Oryzias latipes: one gene and its partner. The protein of the gene in region 1 interacts with the protein of each later gene in a pairwise test. Links are inferred from orthologs where the notes say so. Each region holds a gene or a part of one and is shown on either strand. Other genes may lie near its edges.

The links. The genes of interacting proteins can lie anywhere in the genome.
Region 2: the proteins of pex16 (region 1) and pex3 interact in binary tests that used the Homo sapiens proteins (3 or more experiments, as listed by UniProt). The link is inferred for Oryzias latipes from reciprocal best matches to the Homo sapiens genes PEX16 and PEX3.

The regions. Positions count from the first base shown.
Region 1 is NC_019861.2:661,704-665,456, reverse strand, and holds the start of pex16 (peroxisomal biogenesis factor 16), read right to left. Parts: upstream 2,435-3,753; 5' UTR 2,408-2,434; coding exon 2,209-2,407; intron 2,124-2,208; coding exon 2,088-2,123; intron 1-2,087. Other genes in the region: cars (cysteine--tRNA ligase, cytoplasmic), read left to right, coding at 2,550-2,571. UniProt on the Homo sapiens protein: Required for peroxisome membrane biogenesis. May play a role in early stages of peroxisome assembly. Can recruit other peroxisomal proteins, such as PEX3 and PMP34, to de novo peroxisomes derived from the endoplasmic reticulum (ER).
Region 2 is NC_019882.2:23,442,169-23,445,921, forward strand, and holds the start of pex3 (peroxisomal biogenesis factor 3), read right to left. Parts: upstream 2,925-3,753; 5' UTR 2,789-2,924; coding exon 2,716-2,788; intron 2,314-2,715; coding exon 2,182-2,313; intron 1,417-2,181; coding exon 1,335-1,416; intron 1,263-1,334; coding exon 1,219-1,262; intron 992-1,218; coding exon 870-991; intron 1-869. UniProt on the Homo sapiens protein: Involved in peroxisome biosynthesis and integrity. Assembles membrane vesicles before the matrix proteins are translocated. As a docking factor for PEX19, is necessary for the import of peroxisomal membrane proteins in the peroxisomes.

The DNA of each region.
Region 1 (3,753 bases):
CCATCTATCATCCATCCATCTATCCATCATCATCCATCCATCCTTCACCCATCCAACCTCCAACCTTCACCCTTCATCCATCCACGATCCATTTATCATCCATCCATCTATCATCCATCCATTCATCAATCCATCCATCCATCCATGCATCCATCCATCTTCCATCCATCCATCCATCCATGCATCCATCCATCTTCCATCCATCCATCAATCCATCTATCATCCATCCATCCTTCACCCATCCATCATCCAACCTTCATCCTTCATCCATCCACCATCCATCTATCATCCATCCATCCATCCATCCACCATCTATCCATCATCCATCCCTCCATCATCCATCTGTCATCCATCGATCATCATCCATCCATCATCCATCCCTCCATCATCCATCATCGATCCCTCCATCATCCATCTATCATCCATCCATCCATCATCCATCCATCCACCTTCATCCATCCATCCATCATCCATCAATCATCCATCCATCATCCTTCATCCATCCCTCCATCATCCAACTTACATCCTTCACCCATCCATCCATCATCCAACTTTCATCCTTCATCCATCCATCCATGCATCCATCCATCCTCCATCATCCATCCATCCACCATCCATCTATCATCCATCCATCTATCATCCATCCATCTAACCATCATCCATATATCATCCATCCATCCATCCATCCATCATCCATCCATCCTTCTCCCATCCAACCTCCAACCTTCATCCTTCATCCATCCATGATCCATCTATCATCCATCCATCCATCAATCCATCCATCATCCATCCATCCATCCATGCATCCATCCATCCATCCTCCATCCATCCATCCATCCATCATCCATCCATCCTTCACCCATCCATCATCCAACCTTCATCCTTCATCCATCCACCATCCATCTATCATCCATCCATCTATCATCCATCCATCCATCCATCATCCATCCATCCATCCATCCATGCATCCATCCATCATCCATCCATCCATCCTCCATCCATCCATCCATCCATCCATGATCCATCCATCCTTCACCCATCCATCATCCAACCTTCTTCCTTCATCCATCCACCATCCATCTATCATCCATCCATCTATCATCCATCCATCCATCCATCATCCATCCATCCATGCATCCATCCATCATCCATCCATCCATCCATCATCCATCCATCCATCCATCATCCATCCATCCATGCATCCATCCATCATCATCCATCCATGCATCCATCCATCATCCATCCATCCATCATCCATCCATGCATCCATCCATCATCCATCCATCCCTGCTGGTGTCATAAAGCTAACATGTTCTGTTCTTTGTGGGATTTTTATTTCAGATCTTCTTCTGTGTTTCTGAACAGAAACATAAACGTTTTCCAGAAGCAGCTTTCAGCTCTGGTTCCCAAACATTCAGGAGGTTCTTTTATCGTACTTTTACTTTTGCCGTTTTTGGAGATTTTATTTATACAACTGAATGTAGTGTACAAACTTAAATAGAATGTATTCTTTACAAACTCTTTCCTAGTGAAGAATAAACGTTCAGCTAAAGCATTTTTCAGAGCTTTGATATTTGTGACACTTTTTCAGCCCTGTAGACACTTCCAGCTGTGTCTGTCATTGTTCTTCCTTCTATTTGGACACTAAAAAATACTGCAGTTTTATCAGTAAATGCTCGTTTATTCAACTTTGTTTCAGATTACAGTTTTAGTTAATTAGCTAAGACATTAGATTAAACTAAATCAAAACAAAAAATAACTACAAGCTATAGTACAATATCAGCTGTTTCACACATTTAAATAATGTATTACAATGACTGTGATCTAATTATAAATAAATAATGCGATTATTTTGCAAATATACTCGCTATTTTTGAATTGCAGCTTTTCTGCAGGGAGACTTTTTCTTTTCTCTGAAACATTTCCTGAATCCACATACAGTTTTTTTTCCTGAGCTTTTAAATGTGAGCAGTTTTCTTCAGACCTTCATCATTGTAATAAAACAGAATTCACTCAAATCCTCAAAATAAAAAAACATTCAACGCGCATGCGCACACGTGCAGACTTTTTTGCACTAAGCAACTCACCTAATTCCGATATTTCATGACAATCAGCAAATCGACCTGCGGATTCGGAATAAAAGTGTCCTTTAGAAGCAGCTCGGTCATTGAAGGGTACCGCGGAAGCTGCTGCTGAGCCGCGGCTCACCTGCGATCAGGTAGGACAGAGTCCGGACGGTGTTCTCCAGCTGCGCCGTGGCCGCGGGGTTCCTCCTCACGTACTCCGTGTAGCGCTCATAAACGCGGCTCACTCTGTCCACGTAGTCCTTCATGCAAGACATTCTCCTGACCGGGCGATCGGAGCAGAGAGGAGCCGCTTCTGTGGCCTCGAGCCCACTTTTTCTCATGTAAACAAACTTCCGCTTGTTGTGGGCCGTCAGTCTTTAGCGTCCCCCTCGCTAACAGGTCCGCTTGCATTAGTTCCGGTTCCGTCTGCTTCCGGGCACGTTCTTGTTGCATCAGCATCTGCCGGTTAGCTCTGTGTTCATCATGTCGAGCTCAGGAGACTCAGGTAGGCGGTTTAGATCCTCTGACTGTCGGTTGGACATGAATTTATTACCAAATGTGTCCTAAAGATGCGATCATAAAGCGACCATGAAACCCGCGCGAGGGGTTAAGGAGCCGCGCTAGCTCAACCAACGACAACATGATGATCGAGCGGAATCAATGACAGCCGCACCGGGTCAAACCTGCTGATTTACCCGGGCTACACCTGCTGACTTACCCGGGCTACATCTGATGATTTGCCCGGGTTACACCTGATGGTTTACTCGGGTTACTTACACCTGCTAATTTACCCGGGTTAACCTGCTAATTTACTCGGATACACCTTTACCCGGGTTACAGTTACACCTGCTGATTTTTTCGGGTTGCACCTGATGGTTTACCCAAGTTAGACTTGCTGGTTTACTGTGTGTGTGTGTATGGGTGTGGGTGGGTGGGTGTGTGCGTGCGTGCGTGCGTGTGTGTACTCCCTTTTATATTTAGATGTTTTAATCAGATTTCTTGATGTAACTAACTGCGTTTATTTGCTTTTGCTTCTGCTTTTTAATATTAAAACAATAATTTATATCTAACAATGTTTATTAAATAATTGTATCCATTGAAGCAAAAGTTCTTTCAAACTGTTCAAACCATTATTGTGTTCAGGAACGTTCTCTCAGAGTTTCGGTGTTTGTCTTGGACCTCTAGAACCGACCCAGCTCTGGTTCTTCTGGTTCTGAGGTTGTAGCTTCCTGCGTTCCTCTCATGAGTTTCCTGTCAGACGGAGTCTTCTGGGAACAGGGTTCCCTCCAACTAGAGGCCGTCTCTATCGATTCATTCAGCAGTCGATTGGTCAACAATGATTGTTTTGTTTTTGACTCGAGGTGATAGTGCCGCTATCAGTCCTCTGAGGTTGGCGTCATGTATGGTACTGCTAAGGCTCGGCTTATGTCTACCTCAGGTACAGGTACCTTTACCTGTGCCTTACCTGTCCTTAGTAAGCCTGTACAGGTAAGCTCTATTCGAGCACAAAAAGCCAGAATTGGCTGTTCCTGATTCCTGCTCTGAATCCGTGTCTGAAGGTCCCATAGAAAAAATGTTTTTATGAACATGGGTTTAACTATTGCAGCTGGTGAACCCAGTGATCATTTCCCCTCCATCAGATTGCTGAACTGACTCGGGTTGTCGCGCCCCGATCCTGTCTTTAAAT
Region 2 (3,753 bases), on another chromosome or scaffold:
TGCATGGTTCAAGTGACCCGATTTTTTCCTCTCATGTGGCGGGACACTGTTGCTCTGGAACACGCTAGAAGCCGTTTATTTCTTTGCTTGGAGCAAACTGTTAGTGCAGAACAACGTCTGCAAACACTTCCTCGTTCAAAACTCAGAAAGAGCACATATGGCCGAGCAGCCCCCCTTTTTCCTCTCCTGCGCATCCCCGTCCAGCCTCATCCAGGAGCGCCCAAGGCAACGCCTCCTTTGTCACTGCGTTGCCTCCATGACAACCGCAGTCACACAAAAAACACAACAAAAGGGGGGGGGGGGGGGGGGGGGGTTGCCAGGCTAAACGTTTGCCGTTTGGACCAAATGTGTTTTTATTACTGTTATGATTATTATTAAGGGCCTGCTCGCTCATATTTTTTTTAATCCGTGCTCAGATCCGCGGAAGGTGGAAATGCTGCTACGTAGTCCTCAGAACGTCTATGTTTGATAGTTTCAGCATTGTATAGTGTAAATGCAAAAGTTAATTCTGACTAAAATACATTTTTTTCTGACGTCAGAGTCCTGAAAGAGTAGAAGGGACTCAGCAACCTCTGCTCAAGGAGCCTGCAGTCAGGGGGGGGGGGGGGGGGGGGGTCTATACCCAGGCCTTTAGGGCCGGCCTCCCGATGGTTTTCCAGAAACCCAGAGGATCTGCTGTCGATTACCTAGATGAGGTCTGTTTAGCCAATAAGTTGCTTCACTTAGCAGGCTGGCTCGAAAACATGTCAGACACTGGCCCCCGAGGCTGAATTGGACACCCTTGAATTAGGGTTCAGTGTGTCACAATGTGTGTGTATGTGCAAATAGCCTGAAGGGCTAAAGTCATATCAGTTATGTGCACTCCTTACCGTTGGGCTCCTCCCTGCAGAGTTATCCAGGTACAGGTACCCCCCAATGATGTTGAGCTGGACTCTGAGCAGAACCACCAGCATGCAGGAGCTGTACACAGCCACTATGGTCCGTGTAAAACCTGAATGAAGCAGTTTGTGAGAGAGAAGGGCAGCAGCATTAACAAAAACAGCTTCCTCTTTAACCAAACCAGTGACATTTGAGACTGAAGAAATGCTTTTACCACCTACATCTGAAAGATTCAGAACTTTTTTTACTTTTAATAAGCAATAAGGAGATTAGAAACGAGACAGATGAACTTGGACAAACGTGAAACTGGTTAACCCTCTGGAACCTTCAAACACTCACTAATGATCTTCAGATCCTCCCAGATCTCCAACTTGTTGGCTGGTCTGTGAGACAAACACAGAGGGTGAACCTCCACACTTCACTCATCTCCAGCCTTCATTCAAGCTTCTGCTCACTTGGTTTTCAGCAGTGTGGTCAGACTCTCTGAGTCCAGATGGGTCATAATGGCTTCTCTGAGTGGGGGGAGCATGGACAGCACTGCAACACAAAAACCTGTGTGAGAGCCATGAAGCACTGTCCCCGTCCCACATCAGTGAGGGACAGCTGCCTTAAGGCCCGTTCACACCGGGACGAATTTCGTCGGCGATTTTCGCCGACGTTTAACGCCTCGTGACTAAACAAAGGGCCCCAATGAGAGTGTGCACACCGACGCGAAAAAACGCCACGCGACAAAGCGTCAGAAAAAAAAAACGCCTCGGGTTCGTTTTTTTTTTTTCGACGCGTCGCGTCGAAATCTACTCGACCAATGAGAATGGCGCTTTTGCTCACGTGTCTGGAGCTTCTGAAGTTACAGTAAAACACAACTTGGGGGCGCTCAAACACAAAACTGCCTTGCTGAGCACACATACCAGCGAAGAAGATAGACCCCAAGTAGCGTCTACACAGCCGCGAAGCAATAATGACGGACATTCTAAAACATCCCCGAACCAAGCACCAGTTGGAGCTACTGGTGCTTGAAATATTCATGTTTTCTTTGTTTGATTCTGACAAGCGTGTAAATACTTGCTCTCTTCTTCTGAGTGAAAAGCGACTTTAAGAAGCGTAAAGTTGCGCAGCGCCACCTTGTGTACAGGAGTATTTCTGTTTTACATTAAGCGCCATCTAATGTCAGGGAATGAAATTGCATGTTCACTCCACTCATCGTCAGCGAAAATCGCCTGGGTGTGAACACAAAAAACGTGGCGAAAAACGCTGGCGAATAACGCCTGGCGAATATTCGTCCCGGTGTGTACGGGCCTTTACCCGTCATGTTGCAGGTCCTCTGGTTGCTCTCAAAGTGGAACTGCCTCCTGGCCTGAGCGATGTACTCTGCAGCCTCCTTCTCCTGGACCTCCTTCAACTTCTTCTGGGCATATTTTCCCAGCAGGTAAACTCCTTAAAGGAATGGGGAGTGGTCTGTCTGAGCAAACTGTTCTTTTGAATTACTAACACAGAAACCCCCACAGATCAAGCAGCAAACAAGCTGAAACCACAAAGTCTGTTCCTTCAGATCTGCAGCCAGCATTCCCATAATATCACATTACAAAAACAGACACTAAGATGCAGATAAGCTAACCTCACTATACTACTTGGCAATTCAACAGTCGCCGTGAACGTTATTAATATTAGTTGGAAAGTAACTTCAAGAAAACGAGTTTTTTGCATCGGAGACGTAAGAGGTTATTTACTGCAGACGGACCTCCCCAGTTCTACGTATTTTAAATATGAATGTATCGGTTTAACGTAATAAGACTACAAAATGCTGCTGTTAGCAAACAGGCTAACAGAATAATGTACCTGCAACCACAGCTCCCGTGAAAAGAAACTTCCTTTTGTGGCGTTTAATAAAGGACCCCACAGAGGAAAACATCTTTGCGAAGTCGAAGAAGTTCTAAATTAAAAAAATAATATAAAAAACATCCGACGTGGAGTTTATTTACATTTCAGCCGCTCACACGAGCTGCACACACTGTAACGGAAGAGGAAAAAAAGGCCTCGGAAATGACGTCATTCTCCTTTTTCTTGTGTAGTTTTATGGACGCATTACCGCCACCACCCGGGCCCTGTTCCAGAAAGCTGCATAATTTGGTTTTTAAATAAAACTCTTTTGAACAAAATACAAGTACACAACACGAGAAAGAACCATTCAATGTACAATGTACAAGGAATGTACACAGCATATACTATAGACTATATTAAATAACAATAGGGGTGATTACATAAATATCTGCAAAGATTGACAGATTTCACTAGTTTTGAGGGCCTTTCTGCTGGTGGAGTATGACACTGATTTTATATAAAAATCTTTGATGAATTGGGGGAAGTATGGTGTTTTCTTATTACATTAACATTCATGTATGTAGTATTTCACCTGAAGAATTAATACATTAATTATTAAAATAAATATAAAAAAATAAGACCTTCGTATGACGGAGTTTTAGGGCCACCCAAAAAAAAAAGTACATACGTTTTTTTCCTTTCCTTTCTGTGTTTGCCATGGTTTCGCAATCAATGAATATTCATTTGTGGGCGTTTCACGGACTATTTATGGGCAACTATAGGCTTGTCATGAAGCCGCAAAAGCTGCGCTGCATTTAGAATCGGTTGTGATTTATTAAGGGAAAGATGCGTAGGATGTGCGTGCGCGAGTTGGATAGTGTTACAAAATGCAGGGGGATACAACAGAAAAATAAATTGTCTCAGATACTTGGAATATCACTCAGGGTGTCATAAATTGTTATGGCTTTAGGTGAGTCGATTAACTTTATAGATTTTAAGTATAAATTGATCTCATTGTTAAAGAAGTTAAAGCTGGGGTGACATTTCTGTAACCTA